3 linked regions of the Schizosaccharomyces pombe genome follow. The protein of the gene in region 2 interacts with the protein of the main gene of each other region in a pairwise test. Each region holds a gene or a part of one and is shown on either strand. Other genes may lie near its edges.

Region 1 (6,791 bases), 2.4 Mb from region 2:
GAGCTTGGTTAGAAATTCGAGATGATCCAGAACTCAAAATGAAAGACAAGATCTTTTTAGAAGACACAAAACAAACAGACAACTCTGTCCCCAAAGATAAAGAAAATAAAGAGAAAAAGGTACCTTCAGCTGTGCATTTGGTTCGTCGAGGTGAATACCTACTTAGTGCTTTACGTGAGCATCACCAAAATTTTGGCATAAAATCAAGCCCCGCTATTAGTACTAATGGAAAAACTCAACCTAAGAAGCAGACGGCTAATCGCAGACAAAGTGGCAAGCCTAACGTTAAATCTGCGCAAAAAATAGAGAGTGCAACTAGGACACCATCGCCTGCAATTTCAGAATCTCGTAAGAAACCTTCTTCTAAAGACACGAAGATTGAAACACCTAGTAGGGAACAGTCTCGCAGCCAGACAGCTTCACCCGTCAAATCTGAAAAAGACGATGGTAATGTAAGTCTAAATGCTGAACAAAAGGCACGCTGCAAAGAACTGATGTATCCAGTCCGTAAGCATATGAAAAGACTTCGGAAAGATTCTAGTGGGCTTGGACGCGCGGAGTTGGTGAAGTTACTTACTGAGTGTTTGACAACGATTGGAAAGCATATTGAAAAAACTGTCAATGATACACCCTCCGAAGAAAAAGCTACTGTTAGGAAGAATTTATGGATGTTTGCATGTTACTTTTGGCCGAAGGAGGAGGTTAAATATACCAGCTTGATCAGCATGTATGAAAAGATGAAGTAGATTTTAGCCTGTCATACAAAAGCCAATTTGTTTCTTCATTTTTCATCCGGAATATTTTAGGTTTGAAGCTCGAATATGTTTATCTTTTACAGTCTTCAATTTTGATTGCTACATTTCAAAGATCACTAAATTCTAGTCTAAAAATCGTTTCTTATTGTACCTTTAATTATAATGTTAATAAACCCTGCATTTCAAATCTTGACTTTAGGAAATCCTCCGGTATTCAGAACATAGAGTCAGCATAGATAAGAATAATCCAGTAATACAATTTGTTTTTAATTGAAATATCAATGGCAAACTGCTATTTATTAGTCTGCAACTTTATGCAGTTTGTAAATATAATAGTGTAACTCAGTAGACATCGTTACCAGTGAAAAGTTCATTCAAACATCACAGTACGGCAGGGTTCACCTTTCACACCAAATCACGTTTATAAATTAGAATGTCTCGTGCGGCCTTACCAAGCTTAGAAAGTACGTTACAAATTATTTAGAGTGGCTTTCGAGTACTATTTATTCGATATGCTAATGTCTATGATTTTTTCGTTGGCCTAAAGACGTTTACTAACATAATGCTTAGACCTTGAGGATGATGATGAGTTTGAAGATTTCGCAACAGAAAGTAAGTACTTTTAAAGAAATAATTATTTAACATCAAAAAGATTGGCCTATGAAAGATACAGAGCTTGATACTGGAGATGATACGCTATGGGAAAACAATTGGGACGATGAGGACATTGGAGACGATGATTTTTCTGTTCAATTACAAGCAGAGTTAAAAAAGAAGGGTGTTGCCGCCAATTAAGATATTGCTTCTGCCAGAGTGTATATCTCCGAAACTGCCTTCATCCCTCAGTATAATTTTAATGCATTAACAAAACGATCGAATACAGGTTCTTTCATGACTCTAAGGTTTTGCTGGTTCTGTAAATACGGTGCAGATAGATATTCTTGTGTTGAAGATTTTTACGTTTAAAGAACTTCAACTTGTCCATATCTGTAAATTAGGTCTATGATACTTATATACGCCTGAATTGATTATATTCTAACAATTACCGGCGAAACGGTACTGCCTGTATATGCGAAATGAAGATAAGCTAGAAAATGTAAAACCTATTTGCATTACTATAGACAATAGCAACCCATGATTGTTCAAATGATGATCATTTCAAATGGTCAAAAGAAGAGACGCGTAGTTAATATGTAAAGGAATTTAAACAAAAACATTGAAGTGTATGAGGCAAAGATGAAGGTGCCTGGGAAAATGAAACGCAATTGTCATGAACTTAATTTCTTAGAAGATTCTTAATCGTAATTATCAGCATCTCCTTGTTCTAAGGCTTCTTCCATCAACTTGAAAGTAGCGCGGATAGGCAAGCCTACAACATTGGAAAAGTCACCTATGATAGACTCAATCAATAAGGCGCCGTGACCCTAAACTTAGTCAGCAAAGTCATGCGTAAAAATTTAAAAAAAACAAAAAATGCTATAATTCATTATTTGAAAGCACGCACGGTTCAGGCACTTCCATCACCCTAAAAACAGCCAAAAACATACCTGTATAGCATAGCCTCCGGCTTTATCTGAACCTTCGCCACAACGAACATAAGCTTCGAGAAATTCGTCAGTTATGGAAGGGTCAAACTTCACCTGAGTTTCTTCAAGGTGTGTTTTCATAACATAACCTGGATGAATAGGCACTTCCATAGGCACAATAACACTGACAGCAGTAAATACTTTATGGGGTGTTTTAGAATTTCTGAGCTTTTTCAGCATGGCAAGGTGATGCTTGGGATCGTTGGGCTTCTCCATAATCTCAGAATCCAAAATCAATATAGTATCGGCGGATACAACTATGTCTGGTGAATCTTCTTCGGCGGCCTAAGTAGAAAAAATGCGTTAATATAGAAAAACAAGACAACTTTAGAGACTTCAGTGTGAAACTCTCTGTAAAGAAAAATTTAAATTAAACATCCATACCAGTTTCTCATAAACTGCAATCGCTTTCTGTACCGAAGTGTCAGCAGCATATTCCCAAGGAGTTATGTACATAGATTTATTTAAATCTTCGGGGAATCCGGAAACGCAGGTTTCAACATTAGGAAATCCCTATTTTAAATCAACATTAGTTTACGAACACGACCAAACGAATGAAATTAAGAGACGAACTCCAAAACTTCTAAGTAACACAAAACAGAGAATCATAAATAAGAATAATTTATTAAGATACAACACAATTTTTACGGGCAATGCTTCATGGAAAATATAATAACGACAGCAATTGATACTTTTTTTAGGAAGCAATTGCTTGGGTAGATTACATGATTCAAAAAATTGTCTCCATTTTTTATTTTTCTTACCATCTGTTCAAATAACTGCTTTCTGCGAGGGGATCCTGAAGCCAAAATAATCCTTTTATCTTTTAATTGACGGTGCATTGACGTTTCCAAAGTAAAATGAGAATCGTAAGAAGGAGGAGACGTATCCATTTTTTCGTTGCTCATTTTGAAAATATAAAGAAGTAAACTTTGAAAAATGATTTGAACTCAACAAATTTAACTCAAAGTTGTTTTTTGCAAATTTTGTGTTTCTTTTTCTATTACCAATAGGTACGGATGCAACGAAGCACATAAACATTTAATAGTGACATACAATAGGACCCCATATCTTTCGAGCTCGCTATATTGTACAGTCAAAGGTATTAAAAAAATGTGAATTGTATACGAGTAAAAAAAAAAATCAGGACCGATTTTAATGTGAAGAGAAGCTTTGAAAGAGATTTTTCGCATGTATTATGGCGTTGGTAGCTTCTGCAGTCATTTTTTTAAGCACGGTCTAATGACCTTCCTTTATTTCATTTTGTAAACATCAAACATAATAAATCTAAGCAAAATTGCATATTGAAATAAATCACCATACCGCAAGCAGCACGCAAGTGTATTCGGGAGTAAATTGTTTAATCTTTGGCATCATCGTAACTATTGCAATATATTATAATATAAAATAAATGAGTATATGATGTTTATAATATCAATTTTAAATCATATTATGGAGGTATGTGAATCGCTAGTAAAGCCTCTTACCTATATAGATTTTGCATCCTTATCCATTTTATTAACAATATTCTTACAAATTTGGAGACCTAACAGATTGAGATTTGTATAAGTCTTCTCCATTATTTAAACTAAGTTTTGAGAAAAAGAAAATTTTTAGCTTTTGGAAATTGCTTGCTAATGGAACCAATTCAAAAAATGGACTCCTTAAATAATAAGGAAGGTCAACCTGACAAAAAAAGAAAAAAGCATGAGTCAGAAAAGGAGGGTGAAAATGAAGTTCTCGAAATTGATGTAACAAAACCCGTTCCCCCTTCTAAGAAGTTGATGCGAAAGCTTAGAAAGGCTGGTAAAATTGACAAAGACGGAAATTGGACACCTGAAGCTCTTGAAGAAGCTAAAAAGAAAGAAGAGAAGAGATTGAAACGGCTGGATGCTAAATATGGTAGGAAAGAGGAAGGTGAATCACAAGAAGAGAGCAAAAGATCACCATGGGGTATTTGGGTGGGTAATTTAAGTTTTCATACAACGAAGGAAATTTTAACAGACTTTTTTGTTCGGGAGACAAGTGAAATGATAAAGGAAGTATCTGAAGAAAATATTAAACCCATTACAACCGAACAAATTACTCGTATACACATGCCCATGTCGAAAGAAAAAAGATTCCAAAACAAAGGTTTTGCATATGTTGACTTTGCTACTGAAGATGCGCTTAAGCTAGCTCTTCAATGTTCCGAAAAGGCTCTCAATGGTAGAAACATCTTGATCAAGTCGAATACAGATTTTTCTGGGAGACCAAGCAAGCCAGCAAACACTCTTTCCAAAACTGCATCTATACAATCATCTAAGAAGGAGCCTTCCTCGATCCTTTTCGTTGGCAACTTGGATTTTGAAACCACTGATGCCGACTTAAAGGAGCACTTTGGTCAAGTTGGCCAAATTCGACGTGTTCGCTTGATGACCTTTGAGGATACGGGCAAATGTAAAGGCTTTGGATTTGTTGATTTTCCAGACATTGACACATGTATGAAAGCTATGGAACTTGGCCATAATAGTTGGCGGTTAGAATACGGAGAAGATCGGTCTAAAAGGATGAGGAACAAGTCCCCAATGGCTCGCTCTGGTCGATTTAATGATGCTGAATCTTTAGGTCAAGAGGACAAACCAAACTTCAAGAGAGCTAGGAAGATTGACCCGCGTTCTGTCCGTCCCGGTGCAGCATTAGCGAAGGCTCAGCGATCCTCCGCTGCTATTGTTGAGCCAGCTGGCCAAAAAATTAAATTTGATTAATATAACTTATGAAGGAATACTCGATTACGTTCGTTTTTAGAAAAAACTATTTTGGGTCAGGGCATATTAATATAAAATATTTTTCATTTATTGTCTTAGTTTTTAATTAGCAATGCTATATTTACATATTACTCATCGTATCACATATATTGATACTTATTGCATTAGTATTTATGAGTGTGGATAAGCTTTTGAGTAGGAAGGTAAACTAGAGAAATACTATCTCCTTTTGTGGCTGTTGTTTATGATGGCATCTTTGCCCATATTAATTATCTAAAGCAACTAAAAAGACCATGAACTAATAATGACCACCAGTCACTTATTTTCCATGGCCTTGCTTTTTTTGTTTACGAATTTAACAGTCACATTTACTGATTGGATTAGTAATTTGAATTTTTTATTCGTTATATCTTTTAACAACCTAATATCCCATTTACTAGTATAAATAGGCGGCGCCCTCGTAAACTCCACCAACACCATAAGATTTAGTCATTCATTGTCTGAATATAAATAGGTTAATATTGATGGTATGTCGAATCCTAAGTTGCAAATAAAAGCAAGCCTTTTACCATGATGATTTTCTTCGTTAAACCCAGCTCACTCGGAGTATTTACATTGACGAGTACGCGAAGTTTTTATTTATCTGAACATTGCTATTGCACAGAACTTTTTTATTTGAAACGTATGCTAACCTTTAATAGAAAAGTATTAGCATATTTATAAATCTTCATTAATAAATTATATAAACATTAGTCTTGCTTATACGATTAGCTTGTCTGAATTTTCGTTTATGGTAGCTTCCACACGTTGTTTTGTACTTTTAGTTTAGGCATGTAGTGTCTTCTAGTAAAAAATATAGACTTATTCACAACGATGCAGTTTAAGTAAGTTCGTTTATTACTGTTTAATTCCAATAAGAATCCTAAAAATTTCAAATTCGGGCGTGGGAAATGTTTTGGGCGCTAAGACTATTGATCTGCTATGATTGTCTTGTTTCGTCTTCTTTGTTCATTTGGGAGCTTGTTTCCTGCTTCAAGAGACAACGGACGTCAATTTTTGTTGTATAATGCTGTTTTTTTGCTACAAAAAATTCTTGAAGCAGAGAACTAGTTTGACTACAATTTCACCCACGGGCCCGCTTCTTCAATAAACGAATTTTCAATTGTAGATGTACAGTGATGCTATAGATCTCACAGTGAGATAATATTAGTATAAATAGATGACTGCAGAAGGTGTGGATGATTCTGTTACAATTTCATAAGTGCTACAGTGTGAGTGTAGAGCAACACTGAACCTTGACAATTTTATAAATAAAAAAAATTGATTTTTCGCAACTATTAAAATCTAAACCAGGGAAAACATAAAGCGTTGACCGAACATTTATATACTTCACTATTACGTTTACGAATCTGCTTTCTACCAACACTTCTCGCAATTCCATAGTTTACATCAATTTGTGATATAAACTAAAAGAAACTAGAAGTTTTGATCCTAAAAAGGAAATTTGAAAATAAAATTTATTATTTATACTAGCATTGGGTCGTTAGATTTTGAATTGCTTTTGATTGAGTTTTTTGTCCCTCATTATCCATTATGTTTAGTCGTTTTGCAACCCGCTATAACGCTCTTTTTGAAAAGGCGCCGATTATGACTATGTGTCTAACTGCTGGTACACTGGGTGGAATATCCGATGCTGTCGCCCA
Region 2 (7,985 bases):
ATCGCAAAAAGCCATTTGAGATAATTCTGTTGTGATTAAATCTCCTTAATTTTACTTCAGGATTTGCCTATATTTTTGCTTACTGAAGGCTTTCACGAACGTCAAATAATTTACCTTTTTTTAAAAAACATTCAACCTATTCATTCAAAAAAACCAGTTGACGAAAAGAGTTTTTGTATCAAGGACAAACAAACATCTACATTTAATCACCATGCTGTTTCTTCATTCAGTTGTACAAGGAACTGGAACTCTTTGCACATTAGCTGCATGGATTTTACTTGCACTAGTAATGACAGGTTGCCAATCTAGTACCACCTCGAAATTCCAGTTGTTTTCTCTTGCAACTAACGTAGCCCAAATTAACGTTGGGTATTTTAACATGTGTGTACTTTCTGCTAATGCGACGCTGATCTGCAAACCTCAATTTACTGGTTGTCCTGGGTTGACTTCCATTAGCTTAACGGATGTAAGGTCTAAATTTCTAATCAATGAAGTTCACCCTTGGATGATTGTCTTTTCATTTTGCGTATGCGGTGTTTCATTTCTTATGGGTGTTGTTTCCAGCCTTCCCTTAATAGGGCGTTTGGAATTCCTGAGAAACATTCGTATAAGCCTTTCTTTTTTCTCCTTTTTTAGTATACTAGTAACTGCTTTGTTTGCTCACGTTGCTGTCTCCTCTTTTGTGATGGCTGTTGGAAATGGAACACAAAATCGAGTTACTGCATCTCTAGGCAAAAAGGCTATGATCTTTTTATGGTGTTCTATGGGACTTGTGACATTAACAGGTATCACGGATTCTATTATTCTTTTGGTTACTTCAAGAACCAAGAAGATTCGTAAGACGATACTGGAAAAAAGCAAAGTCCTTACCCCTAGTTCATCCTTTTCTAGCAAATCCTCAACAACAAAGTATTAAATTATGCGCCTCAACTATTATTGTTTTGAGAAGATATGACCTTTCTCACCTTGTTATATTACATTATGGCAACTGTATTCATCTGTACTTGTTTTTTGTTTTTACGTTTTTTCACGTTCCGCTTTTTTTATGATTTTCTTAACGCCTCTTTTTACGATTAATCTCATCTTGGTTTATTTATGTATATGTTTTCACACTGCACTTTACTTCATTTCTCTTTTGCACTCATTTCTACTTACCGCACTTGAAACTTTCATGTCAAAAGCTCATATATTCAAGTCAAGATAAAGCTGTTTAATATTTCATTATCAATGACTAATATCGATTAAAACAATCATATACATTCTCTTTCCATAGTCTTTTTATTTAGAACCTATATACATACGCATCTTTACAAATTATACATTCTTCAATTGATTTTTTGCATAAATCTGATCAACTGTATACTTCTGTAACAGTTTTTTCGTATCTTACAATCGTAGCTGATAGAAAGAAATTAAAAGAGATATTAAATGATTTCTGCCTTGATTATTATTCAGTAAAGCAATTACACACTCTAACTCCCTTTTGCGTTAGTTCCTACCATCAATAAACGAAATTTTTGTAATGATAGATCAACCCTATACTTCGGAGTAGAATGTAGCGTCTTAAGCATAATGATGAATGTTGATCAGATACTTTTAAACTATCGTTTACCGTTTTTCCAGAAGCATTTCATTTTTTAAAAAATTTGTCAACCGATGACGGTATTTATTTTTTACGAAATTTGAGTTAAGTTAATGATTTGATTAGCGATGTGGAAAGATGCATGTTTGTTCCATCTGCCAAATTGTGCTACTGCTCACTGGTCAGAATAAGCGTAGAATAGGTTGAGGAACTAGATGACACTGTAATTATTTTTTTACATTTCTCAAATTGTAAAGACAAAGCATGAAAACTGCTTTGCTATTGAAAACCAAATCACAGCCTTTCGATCCATATGTGGAGGCCTTTGAAAAATATGGAAGAGATACAGCCTTCATTCCTGTGCTGAGACACAAAAGGGTTCACGAAGAACAGCTTAGAGATAAATTAAAAAACGTTCGTAAAACTTATTGTGGTTTAATCGTTACCAGTCAACGAGTTAGCGAAACTCTGGATGAAGCATTAAAACAAGAAGATGAAACGGAGAGGCAGAAAATATTGATGGAAACACCAATATTTACAGTAGGTCCGGCGACTGATGATAGTATTCGACGTCTCGGTTTTCAGCAAACACATGGAAAGGACTGTGGAAGGGGTGAGGTTTTGGCAGATTTAATTGAAGAGTGGTATACTACGACTAAACAACATAAGCCCTTACTTTTCCTTGTAGGGGAAAAGCATAGGGATATAATTCAAAGAAAACTGGGGGACGACAGAGTAGATTCATTAATCGTATATGCTACGCAAGAATTAGAAAATACAGAAACCCAAATAAAGGATACGATTAGAAAACATCCTACAATTGATTGGATTGTCGCATTCAGTCCGACATCCATTTGCTCTTTATTAAACACATTTGAATTAAAGATCGCAACCATTGGACCTACTACTGGAGATTATCTAAAGAAGCTGGGAACTCAACCGAACGTTGTATCTCCAGCACCTAATCCAGAGAGCTTGGCATCCAGCATAGTTGCCTTTGATGAGGAGAATTCTAGTTGAAGCTTTTTATCTGAAATTTACTTCACGAAATATTAAGGCCTTCAATACCGGTATTTCGAGATCTTCTTTGTTACAGTATAAATCGACGAGGTTGGGAGGCATGGGGGATGCTGTAGGCTCATCACTGGCATCATGATAAGCAGCTACATACGGGTGCTTTAGAGCCTCTTCTGCAGTTATACGCTTATCAGGATTAAATGTCAGTAATTTTTCTAAAAGGTCAATAGCATCTGGTGATGCCTGAGGAAAGAGTGCTTTGAATGATACTTTAGGAGTAAATGGAAGACTTTTAATATATTTCCTCGCACGTGCAGATTTAATTCTTGAAAAATCGTCCATAGTAGGCGTTCCTAGAATGTTAAGGATTAAAGTAATTTGACTATGATAGTCCTTTCCTGGGAACAATGGTCGAGCAGAAAGCATCTCAGCAAGTATACAACCAGTACTCCATAAATCAATAGCTTTGCTGTATTCTCGGAAACTCAGCATAATTTCCGGTGCTCGATACCAACGAGTTGCGACATACTCAGTCATAAAGCCAGGATTTCCGCCTTGAGCTGTGGTGGAACGTGCCAAACCGAAATCGGCAACTTTGAGATCACAATTGGCATTTAGTAGTAAGTTTGATGGCTTCAGGTCTCTATGAACAACTCCAGCACTATGCATGGCTTTCAGAGCGCGCAAAATTTGATACGTAAAGTATTGACAATGATCATCGCTTAAGGGCTGCGAACGTATAACACGGTACAAATCCGTTTCCATAAGCTCTTGTACAATATAAACATCTTCCAATTCCTGGTAGCTCGGTGGTGGAAGGATGTCTAGAATTGAAATTATATTTTCATGACGAAAATGTCTGAGTAACTTGATTTCCCTTAAAGTTCTTAGACAAAACACAGGATGATTGAAAGGATGTATTTTTTTAACAGCCACCTTTAGGCCGCTGGGTTTGTGAAGCGCGGCACATACAACTCCATAAGCACCTTGACCGATGAGATTGATCATTTCGTATTCCTCTGGTAGCTCAAAGTTTAGATCATGCGTGTGTGGGCTTCGACTTGTAGCTACTGACTCCTTGTTGGAATTCCCATCCGCAATAGTAGGCGTGGAAGTAGCGCTCGCCATTAGACTACAAATTGAAAAACTTGAAAGAAATGAAGCGATATGAATAGATAAATAGAATTAAAAAGAATTACAACGTTCTTTGTAATAAATTATGTTATGCAATCCTTTGTGCTTTAAATCCGACAATATTGAAAAAAGTCGGTTTGCCAGCCAAAGACAGAAATAGACAAGGATGTATTAGAAATCCCTTTATCAAATTAGTTTAGTATTAAATTAAATAATGCGAAAGAAGGACGTTCGGCAGCACTTCAAAAACAGGCGCTAGCAACAATAATACAAATATTAGGTTGCAAGCTTATAAAATATAGGAATAACAAAAGAAATAGAAAATATACAAAAATCGTAAAAGGGAAGAATTTCAAAAAACCAGACAAATGTATCTTCGCAATTGAGATTAAAGGCCCACAATGGTTATTCAATAAAAAAATGATGCTTCAAATATTGCCAAGCAAAGATGCCTTGAGGGAATTGCAAAAGCGTCCTTCAAAACCGTCTCTAGCAATTTCTCAATTGCCCTTCCAAAACTGTTGAAAAGCTGTTGGTAATTGTTAAGTAGTGTGGTTGGACTAGTCAACATTTATAACTTACAATAACAAAGAAAGTTTCTTTGTTAATGTATTGCCCCAGAAACTTCATAGATACGAATCTTTAGACAGAATAAAGAAACGATGAGTGACATGAAATCAAAAAAGTAACACACATTTTAAGTGCGCGACGCGTCGCGCATATTCTTTGTTTACACTAACTTACAAACCTTCCATCTACCACGACAGAAATTAAAGGCAAAGAAATGCAATATTTTAAGACTATCTAAATCGAAATAATTAATTTACAAGGTAAGCAGAAACAATTGGTTATGCAAGGATATTTGAATGGGTTCTTGAAGAGGTTGAACAGAAACCGTATGATGGTTGTTTAATTTTATGTTCTCGTAATAATAATCTTATGAAAGTTTAAAAAGCATGAAAAAAAATAGATAAATCCGTTGAAACTCTCAAACAAAAATAGTTAAACATTCATAAATTTCCCTTGGCGTCCTTACTTCATCATGAATTGGCTAACCCGTTATTAGAAGGCATTGTAAATTAATGATGTTAGCTATCGACATGACAATAAATGAAAACCAGGGAACACGCTCAAATTTGGAAAGTCCTACACTTTCATGTAGCAGTAAGGGTGCAATGCAAGAAAGAGACGTTATGTTTACAGATCACAATACCTTCAATATCACTAATAATAAATCTCGGCCTGGAAGTTTAATGAAATCTATGAAAAGAAAAGATGTTTACGAATTTGATGAAGATAATGAGTTTGAGTTTGAAATGGGGTCACTTATACATAAGCCTTCACGTGCTCACTCCTTAGGAGGAACTAGTGAGCCTGTGTCAGATGACCATAAAGATTGTATGGAAGCTACACGACAGTTATTGGAAAATAGTCCACTTTCCTCTGTCGTTGTCAAAACATGTAGTGATCATGCATCAAAGCGTAAAATTGCGCGATCCTCTTCTGACGATTCTGAAAGCAAAGTTGAAAGCACAAACTCTTTCAATGCAAAGAAAAGAAAGGATGCATGGACAGAGGAGCATGAAAAGTGGTTTCAAGCAAGGATTGATGAATTGTTAACGATTCGGTCTATATCACGGGAGCAAATGATCGAGATATTGGAAGACGAACATGCTGGGAGTCGACTTCAAGGGTTTTTAGAGTCAGTAGCATCTTTTCTGAATCGAAAAGAAAATAGTTTACTAAAGTACATGCGTGCTTTTTTTCAAGTCGCCGGTTACGAAAAGATAGACATTGGAAGCTTGGCTGCTGAAGAGGATTCGCAACTTAATTTTTCTCTAGAAGACGCACAAGTGATTCAAAAAGTAGTTTTGTCTTATTGTAATAATGAAGGCGTAGATTTACAAGAGTTTGGCTTCCGGATGAGTTCTTCAAGCTTAAGACATACAAATATCAACTTTCTATACAACGAACTACGCGAATTGCTGCCTACTTCTATTTCAAGAAAAGGAATTATTCGTTATTTGAAGGAAATCTACAAGCCGTTGGATCCGAAAGATAGGAATGCATGGGAGGAAAGTGAGCTAAAAAAGCTGTACACCCTAGTTGAACAAGAGGGAACGCGGTGGAACAGCATAGCGAACAAACTGGGAACGTCACCTGCCGCGTGCATGAGTCAATGGAGGTTTGTTGTAGGTACTAGTACTCAGGAAACAATTGATCGGCGCAAATTATGGACGAATGAAGAGGAAGCAAAGCTATTAGACTTGGTAAAGTCTTCTTACCGGTCGTCTTTTCACACAAAAAAAATGACAAGCCTTTTCACACACAATAATCACACTACTTCAAACATACAACGGGAAATACCGGCATCTGATTCCATTGCATGGCATAGCATATCGAAGAAGCTTGGGACTAAGTCGCCGGAAAGCTGTCGAAAACAGTACGAAAAAACAATCGCATCTTATTCTTCTAACCAACGTCAAGAGGAGGATCAAGGGAAGAAAAGGAAGAAGAGAAAAAAGAAGAAATCAAAGGGTAAACGCAAATTTTACGTCGCGGATAGTTTAAAACTACTAGAACATGTACAAAGGCAATGCGGAGAAGCAATCTCCATAAATGCCATTGATTGGAAAGGCATTGTCAAGCAAATGCCAAAATGGTCCGAGGAGGAATTGAGAGCGCAAGCCACAAATTTGGTAGCGAGTGTTCGCGGCTGGAAAAAGACACGTTTAAGTGAGAGTGTGAGAATCGCAATTACAGATTTGAAAAGTCTTCCTCCTGACGTATAATAACAAATATTGCAGACGAAACGTTAATAAGTGCGCAAGAAAAAATAGTCAAAAAATATCTTTTTTGCTGGTATGTCACGTTTGCCCAGGTCATATTGAATGTTTTTCTTGGCTGTCTCAATTTTCCCACACAATATAATGATATTTCTCATCTCTTTTTGCGACAGGGGCGAAAATAGTTGGACTGCACTTCAAGAGCAACCGAACCCGTCTACCTGCAAAACGTACCTACACAAGAATTCTGCAGCATTAAAGTTTATATGGCAGAGCAATGGAGAAGAAGAGTGAGTCACCTGGTTCCTCTCCACATACTGGATACTGTTGATTTAGGTTCATTTGCGAACCCATCAATCATTTTACTTCTCGACATACTGTTGCCAATCTAAATTACTTTCTTTTCATACTTGTTCCAATTGCTGGTTACCTGATATCCTCTCTCGTCTACCTTAATCCGATTAAGTGCGATGTATTTGCAACATGCACGTGTGCATTGTAACCAGCCTCATTCCGAGCCTTTCCGCTTATTTATTTATTAAATTTTTAATGTATATTCGTTATTTAATTAATATCTAAGCATGGATCGTATGGTTACTAACTTATTTCTTACTTCATCCCTGATAATGACGGATAATAGATGCAAAAATGAATGGTTTGGTGGTGGCCAACGAAACAATCGACACTGCTACGGCTCTACTAAAACAAGTCACGTTCAACGGTTCATCGGCTAATATTAACTCAAAAAAAAAAAAGAATAAAATAAGTATAGTTCGGGGTCCGAGATTTCTTTGATAGTCCCTTGGACATTCTATTTTAGCATTTCAACTAACAACTGAAAGGGCCGGAAAATCTTTGAAATTTTTAAATCTGTTTAACTCATCCCAAAGTAATTGAGTGTCGGAAAAGAAATGGCCCGAACGGTTTTATGAACCGGTCCCTACTAAAGAATAACAAAATTCAAATATTGGAAAGGCAGGTTTTGGTTTTGAACGCAGTTGTTGGATTGAAAATATATTCCATTGTACTTTGTACTTGATAATCAAAGTAATCTTGTTGTTGATCATTAAAGGCGTATCAACAGTGTTGGGGAAAAAGTTTACCTTGAATCTTATCTAGCAGCGGAAACTAAATAATTATATTTATTAAATTGTTAGACCAGCCTAAAACTATCGGGATTAGCGTTGGGTAAGGGATTTACGGAATATTTACCGTATTAGGTTTTTTTTGAGTTTTAAAAATTTAACTCGCTAACATAACCGAAGCCTCGCACATATAAACTATCTTTCAACCTACTTGACTCAACTTTTCCTTCACCAACCGCAGTGTTGCATTAAGCAGCAAAACGTTGTCACCTTCGAATAGCGTCTTTTTGACGAATAAAAAGGTTGGACAACAAAATTAAATTAAGCAAATTTGTGTATAAACTAACAGCAAGTGAAGTTGTACCGGTTGTATGATTGAAG
Region 3 (7,658 bases), 1.7 Mb from region 2:
ATAACTTTTCAAATAACGTCTCATTAATGATTTTATGTTAAACAATGATACTATCCTAATTGTGCATGAATTTTAATACGTATCAAGTTTTAGCTAGTTCACCGAAGAATTTATTGAACAACGGACATTGTGAATAAATTTATAGTAATTTAAGGCAATGGACCACTTTTAAGACTATTATGTTTGAATGTCATTTTAAAAGATGTTTTCTAAATTAACAGTCTTCATGACTATAGGCATTTAAAGAGTCATTAGTTAACGCCTTAAGCAGTGTCTTTTTGTGGTACATTCTCCACTACTCCATCACCCTTTATTATTCGCTGCAAAAACCTTCCTTCGATTTATCGTATCATTTATCTACTATGTCCAATGCTCCAGAAATAGTACAGAGACTTATAAAAATGATTATGAGGGCGTTTTACGAAACTAGACATATAATATTTATGGATGCGATTTTGCGACATTCAGCGTACGTGCTTCACAAGATCAGAACGATTTTAACCTTTGGTAGACTTACAGATGAGCAAACAGCGCTGTTAATGGGTATCCCTATAAAAGAATGTCGGTTTATTGCTGGAAAATTGCGCGAGGATCGTTTATTGGCAATGTACGTGAAGGCAATTCCATGACCAGCTGCTAACCTTTCAGTCAAAGTAGGACGGAAATGAAGGAAGGCCAACAAAGGCAATATCATACAACCTATTTCTATATCGATTTCTGTTCTACGATTGACAGCATTAAATGGCGTATGCACCAATTAGTGAAAACAGTAGAAGATCGAATGCGAAATGTAAGTTCCTTTTTTAATTGGGCCTTTTTTCATAAAAGGTTTACCATATTGTTTCCTTCTTTTTGCTTAGTGTTTTACCCACTACTTTTACGAATCTCTTATTATCGTCACTTTCACTAACTTAGCAGGATTTCGATTCTAAAGGCTATGTTTGTCCATTTTGCAACAAAAAGTTTTCTAGCCTTGACGTTTTGTCTTTGGTGACCAACGAGGGAACTTTTGCTTGTAACGTTTGTGGAACCGAACTCAAAGACGATGAGGAGAGTGCAGAAATGATGTCTAGTCAGAAAAGGCTAGGAAAACTGATGGGACAAGTTAATGGTATAATCGATGCATTGAAAAGGGTGGATGAAATTGTCGTACCACAAAACAATTTCCAATCTGCTTTAGAACATGCGGTTCCTGTTTCGTTAGACACCCAAAATTTGTCGCAACAAAACTTGTCAAAAAGTAATTCAGACGTCCGTCTTTCCACCTCTTCGCCATCTATTACAGTTGATTTCTCTGCTGATAAAGAGACTGATGAAAAGCGTGAAAGGAATTGCGACAAGCAAGTCAAAGCTGCTCAAAACATTCTTCCCGAATGGCATGCAACATCAACAATTTCTGGCTCCATTACTCGTGCTGGAGCTAAAGATGCCGCACTTCATAGTTTTAGAACTGAAACTGTTAATGAGGTTCAAGACACTAAAACAGATATTACTTCTGAAAAGAGCGCCTTAGATGCTTATTACGCAACACTTCGTGCAAAGCAAAAAGAGGAAAGCGAGTTTATGGACAGTGAAAACGTAGATGATGAGGAGGATGATGACTTCTTAGACGTTACGACGGCTACCTCTCTTCAAAACAAAAGTACTGATTATGGGTCGGTCAAGCGTAAAACCGAGAACCTAAATTCAGATAGTGATATCCAAAATAAAAGAACAAAATCGATAGAAGAAAACAATTCATTACCACCTATTGTTTCTACAAATGGTATTACTGATGGTGATACGGAAATGCAAGAAAGTAAAAAGAATGTTATTATTAATGGATTTAATGAGGACGATGAAGACGATGAAGATGAAGCTGATTTTGAAGATGTTTAATAAAAATGACATAGGGGAGAGAGCAATGTGATACCAAAAAACAAAGGTGTTTATACCTATGTATTCATAGAATCTTTTTGTAATAAATAAATGTTAATTTATTTTTTTAACAGTATTCATCAGTGCACGTATCCTGCTAACTATAATGGCAGCTTCCAAGGCGGACAAAACTTCAAAATCATACCTGAACTCGTTAGCTTATTAGCGTTAAAAAATTTCTTACCGCTTAGTTTCCCTATTCTTGGACACAATCATTTTAAAATTACATGGTGATTTTTTAGACTGCTTGCATAAAATAATCGATCCAGCATGTATACTGGACGTCTTAGGCGTTTCAAATATATTTTTGGATTCAGACGGCATTATGTGAACGTATTCTCCATCAATAGCTAGTAGACGCTCATGTCTTCCCATAAATGAAACAGGTTGTCGTTTCCATACAAGAAATTCTTGATAGGTATTGCTCGACATAATATCTGTTGCATTGTATGTTGAAGATTGTGCATCTTTCTTAATAGATCCATAAACGGAATTTTGTGGTGAGGAGGTTGGCAATTGTTGGGTACTTCCTTTTTTATCGCGTACCTTCTTTTTAACAAGTTCTAGAGTTGGATTTCCGTCTAGTGAACTAAATGTTTTATCAAGTGGTAAAACAGTATCAGATCCAGCAACTCGCAGAGTATACTTAAATCGCTCCAATTGCTTCATCCAACACACCTGGTTCAACACCATAGCCAATCTAGTAGTTTTTGATATTTCAATATTGCAAAATCGAGCATTATCCCCGTATGGGGGAAGTCGTACCTGTACGACATGAGAAGTATTAAGTGTATCTTTGACATCCTGAGCTTGCTTTTGTGATTGACTTGAAGTTGAACTAGTATGCCGAATATGCGTTTTGTTATTGGCTTCAGGAATTGATGTTGGATGCTTCGATTTAAACGGGTAGGCAGCTTGATTTTCCTTTATTTGGGCAGGAGTGGCTTTAACTAAAGCAAATGCGTCAAAACCAAATTTTGATAATGGACCTACACGGTCCAAAGCGGGAAAATCTTCATCTAGCTCCCCGTCATCTTCAACAATACGTAAATTCCAATAATTCGGATTTTGAGCCTCATCTTCTATTGGGGGCACGAGTTGCTGGTTAACGTATTGAAGTAAAATATAACCGATAGCCTCAGAGACCAAAACATTCTTTCGGAGTTCTACAAATAAGGGCTTTGAAGGACTTTCGCTCGAAGGAAAATAAATGTTTAAACGGAGGGCATTTGATTCTGCATGTCCAGAAAAAGTAGCAAAATTTTCAGCCAATGGCCCATTCTGGCTACTGTTTTCTTTATGTTCAAGTAATGCACGAAGAGCAGATGTAGGAGCCTTTGCGTTCGAAACAGATCTTGCTTTATTGACTGTATTGTGTGTTCCGCGTTGCTTACCAGGAAAAAGAGCATCAACCGCAACAACTGCATCAGCTTCAGTGTCAGTTAAGGAAGAATTCATTGGAAAAGTAAGAGGAATTTCTCCTTGACTTAAATGAAATGATTCCTCAGAAATCGACCGTAGATCATCATAATCCGTAGAAACACTGCTTTGCTGGTTTATGGAAGACTGTTTGGACGAGGTTAAATTCACTGCCTGCGAGGATTCTACCATGTTGGTAAGCTTAAGATTTGCGATAGCATCAATATTATTTAATGTGGAAATTTTGGGGTCCAGTCTTTCCTCTTCTTTTATACTTGCAACATCCTTCTGCATTGGGACTTTGCTAAAAGAAAATATACACGAGTTATCGTCATCACCCACATCTGAAGATTCGGATAAGTCAGAAGTAGCATAATCAGAATCTTCAGCTCGAGAATGATTAACTTGACCCCCAGCACCATTTACTTGTTTAGTATCACTCGGCTTTCGGACATTGGATACAGTGTCATTAGCGACAATCGGGGGACTTGAAGAAAACGAAGTTTTAGAATAATCATAATCATGAATCAACAAGTCTTGCAATGATTTGTCCAATTCCCATTCCGGGGCCTCAGTAGATATAACTCGATTTTCGATTGAGTCAGGAAGTATATGAGAATATTGCATTCGCAAAAATGTTAACAAAAGACTGTAAAATAAACGTATTAGTTTGTATAAGTTTCATAGGAAAAAAAATAGTATCCTTACACTTTCTCTCTTGTTAATTCCATTCTGAGTCCTTATTATATCGCATTTACAGACTTTATAAAATATTTAATTTCAACGAAGTTTGAATACTTAGCGACCATACTTTTTATGGCACCTTAATATAGAAAATTTGTAAACTCAATTATGTGAAACGTTGGTGACGGACGCCGCGTGCTTTATTTCAGTTGCTATGTATCCCCCGCTAAGCATTTAATTAAGTGTTGGGGGTAACACCGTAAAGTACCACCAAATTTCAAAAGACAGCAAAATATGAACGAAACTATTAATTCAAACAGTTATTAACTGAAGTACAAAAACGCTAGACAATGAAAAAAAGTGATCTCATATACGTTTTAGATATTGCGAAACAGCTAAAAATGGTATTTGAACTATATAGCAATTACGGTATTAATTATTTACAGAATAATGTAATTAAATTATTGTGGAATTTTTATTTTTTGAAGTTTCTCAAATGGCAAGCTTACGACTTAATAAATTCACTCGACAACGCCAAGCTAGAGTATTTTAAGGAATTTGATTTATTTACAAAGCCAAGATAAACGTTTTGAGACAACTTATTTTGACAACGTTTCTTCGGATCAAGGGAAACTTTCAAAAATGAAGTATTTTGCAACTGAAGTATAAATATACATGGGGAGTAGTAAGTAATTGCTATCCGATTTTTAACAGCTTATATAAAACGAGCTCATTTCAACCGAATCTAGCTTCTCGATGGTAGATAAAATGAACATTATGTATTATGCGAGGGAAACAACAAAACCAATGAAAAATGCAAGACGATATAGATAAAGGAGAAGATAAAGACCAAATGTGATTTAAATAGAAAAAGTGAGGTCGAAGCAAATGGTCAATTTAAAAACTCAGCGAAAGAAATGATTTGGTCCAATTTTTGTGAACCATTGAACATTGCCCCAAATGCTGACGAAGTGTAGACATCCACTCATCTTTTTCGCCGACGGTTTCAGCGTAAAAATCGATGTAGTCCCCATTACTGAAAATGATACGGAAACCCGATTCGAAATACAGATACCCTTCTAGTTCTTCTTCATCACTATAATGGTTGTCATCCACGATATGTGTGGCTTCAGACAAATCAATCGTTGCTCTGCGAACTTTAGAGAATTGTTGAAAAGCTACTAACTTTGATCCTATTAATTGAAAATAGCGACGACGCCAATAAGGGCAATCCCCACCTTGTTGACATAGATAACCATCACACAATAAAGTTCTATCCCATTCAGCAAGCTTTAAGTCATACATGGCAGACTCGATTGAAGCGGGAAGTTCTTTCAGAGAGACAGGAAGCGCTGGTAAGAAAAATACGTGGATTTCGAGTTCTCCTACTTTTCGAGGGAGAGGCTTGACATCTTTAGCTGCCGGATCAACAGTCCATTTGTTCATGATTGGTAGAACCATAGATTGACAACGGCCTAGTGCGGTTCGGCTTACAGAATCAGTGTTAATGGTAACTTCGCCGAAAGTTCCATCTTCAGAAACAAATCCATGAAGTGCTTCTGAAACGGGGTCGGTAGTCATAGACTTTCTCTTATTTGTTGAAAATACTTTTCCAAGTGTAGAACGAGTGCGAACCTTAGGTGGATCGTAAGCCGCACGGAGCGTACATACAATTGAAGAACTAATACTTTCATCAAAAGTATACTCATTTTCAATTTTAGTAGTAGAGTGTAAGGCGTTCCATGGTACTTGAATGTGCTTACCAGAGATTGTATAAGTGAACCTAGTGGTCATCCCCGATGCCAAAGGAATAGTTAAGTTTCTGATTTCCATAAGACGGACAAACAATCTTCCACTCCCGCCGGTTTGTTGCAAACTACTGGACAAATTTCGCGATAACGATTCTGGCATATAACAAGAATTGACAACGCGCCGCGAAGTTTGCATTTCTTGTTTCTGACTAGTGGCATGTACAACTTTAGAATTCTGTCGTAGCAAATATGTCCTAGTCAAAGCGTCAAAGGCTGAAAGAACATTTGTAAAGCGAGGATCTGGTAAAGAAACCACTTTTGGAAGAAGCGGTATCGGAGCATTTTCGTCAAGAACATGAGGGGAATCTAAAGAGGTGATGGAGCTCGTAAGTGGCTCTTCGTATTCATGAATAGAATCTGAACGGTAGATATCAGTCCTACAATTCTCTCGGTTCTCATCTGCGAATGATAAGCGAGGAGGTGTCTTTATATCTTGGAACGAGGACGAATCTTCAGAGAAACCAAAAGATGCAATACTGTTTATACCTTCGCCAAGACCAACCATGTCACTAACACTGCTAACTATACTGTTCGTAAAACTAGTGTCAGATGAATTATGAGAGTGAGTAGGTAACTCAAGTTTGACAGGTGGTGAAATTGAAACTTCTTCAAATTCAGCTGGCAATGTGTCCTCGTTAAAAAGCTTTGAATTACAAACGGAACGAGCAGGATTTTTTTTAGGAATTGGTATGTCGCCATGGCCCTGGTTAGATGAATTACTCTTTATCGAGTTGCGTGGAGTCGAGCTACGACTGCTTTTATTTGAAGCCTCATCATCAGATAATTTGATCAAACATGAATCGTTCAATGACAGTATGTTCTCTTTGTTTACGTCTTCAACACTTGTACTACTACTATCCGTTTCATTCATGACAGAGTAAGTTGGGGTCCTACGAACTTCTGTAGAAAAAGGAAGAAGAGACTGATGATCATCAAAACTGGAAGAATTTGATAACGTTTGATCATAAGGGAAACTATCGCCATCTTCAGCATCCTCAGATTCAGCAAAAGAAGGGGCCGTAGACGAGATGTTACTGCGATTAAAATTTCTCATTGTACTTTCTCGAGATATCGATGCGATTGTAGAGGCATAGTCAGAACATTCGTAATCAGTACTTGGGATGGGAGAAGGAATTCTCAATGCTCTATGGATGTCAGCTAAATACATTTTAGCATGCTGATCCTGTTGAGAAGCAGTCATCAACATTATGGAAAGCCTTGGAATTTAACAGCTCTGCTGAAATTAGAATATAAAAAAAAATAAAGGCACAAAGAATTAAGGGTTTTTATTTAATTGGTATTCGGATTACAAGGCTATTCCGTATGGATTATTGTATACAAATAACTGAAACAGTTTCAGTATATTCCAGAAGGTACACCGAATGTGAAATAAAGAAATTCAAGTGTTTTGGTAGGCGCGTTGCTTAATATAAAGGAAGGAGGCGAGCATATGATTGAGAGGCTGGTAAATCCATTTTCGGCAAAGGTGGCTGGTATCACTCGAAAATCCAGTTTTCCAGCACAGAAGCGAGAGAGTGGTTACATCAAGCGGATCATTTAAACCGAAGTCTAAGAGCCATTGGTGGACGCAGCTAGTTTTACAATCCCTTGTTAGACCGAATTGTCGCATATTACTGTTCTTCAAAAGCAAATCCACAATGTACGCAAACATAAATCAGAGTCTAATTAAGTCAGTAAAATTGTTTTTAAACCTAAATATTAAAATTGTTTTCTCAATGAAACAATGCGAAACACACCATCATAGTATCACCCCGACGAGAATGAGTCTGATAAAAAACTGCTTCATGTTGATGACAACGCGGGCAT

Evidence for each region. Proteins that work in one complex are often made in the same cells at the same time.
Region 1: the proteins of spk1 (region 2) and ifs1 interact in a two-hybrid assay, tested with the Schizosaccharomyces pombe proteins (one large-scale study listed by BioGRID).
Region 3: the proteins of spk1 (region 2) and sin1 interact in a two-hybrid assay, tested with the Schizosaccharomyces pombe proteins (one large-scale study listed by BioGRID).

The regions. Positions count from the first base shown.
Region 1 is NC_003424.3:5,381,905-5,388,695, forward strand, and holds ifs1 (Maf-like protein Ifs1), read right to left. Parts: upstream 3,357-6,791; 5' UTR 3,250-3,356; coding exon 3,106-3,249; exon of another isoform or gene 2,855-3,105; coding exon 2,726-2,854; exon of another isoform or gene 2,627-2,725; coding exon 2,303-2,626; exon of another isoform or gene 2,180-2,302; coding exon 2,051-2,179; 3' UTR 1,801-2,050; downstream 1-1,800. Other genes in the region: CHD family chromatin remodeller Hrp3, read left to right, coding at 1-746; proteasome receptor/ubiquitin ligase adaptor Dss1, read left to right, coding at 1,189-1,219, 1,326-1,367, 1,408-1,550; RNA-binding protein Rnp24, read left to right, coding at 3,979-5,088; SPOM_SPAC3G6.05 (Mpv17/PMP22 family protein 1), read left to right, coding at 6,682-6,791.
Region 2 is NC_003424.3:2,997,242-3,005,226, forward strand, and holds spk1 (MAP kinase Spk1), read right to left. Parts: upstream 4,278-7,985; 5' UTR 3,728-4,277; coding exon 2,609-3,727; 3' UTR 2,603-2,608; downstream 1-2,602. Other genes in the region: tetraspan protein, claudin Dni1, read left to right, coding at 212-916; hem4 (uroporphyrinogen-III synthase Ups), read left to right, coding at 1,847-2,602; RNA polymerase I termination factor, Myb family Eta2, read left to right, coding at 4,816-6,525. UniProt on the Schizosaccharomyces pombe protein: Involved in mating signal transduction pathway.
Region 3 is NC_003424.3:4,744,222-4,751,879, forward strand, and holds sin1 (MAP kinase-interacting protein Sin1), read right to left. Parts: upstream 4,207-7,658; 5' UTR 4,068-4,206; coding exon 4,045-4,067; intron 4,002-4,044; exon of another isoform or gene 3,986-4,001; coding exon 2,102-3,985; exon of another isoform or gene 2,063-2,101; coding exon 1,972-2,062; 3' UTR 1,879-1,971; downstream 1-1,878. Other genes in the region: transcription factor TFIIE subunit Tfa1, read left to right, coding at 363-469, 512-607, 649-790, 919-1,878; mid2 (septin ring organizing protein), read right to left, coding at 4,918-7,038; DNA-directed RNA polymerase II complex TFIIS subunit Rpb9, read right to left, coding at 7,463-7,513, 7,589-7,658. UniProt on the Schizosaccharomyces pombe protein: Component of the mechanistic target of rapamycin complex 2 (mTORC2), which regulates multiple cellular processes to control cell growth in response to environmental signals.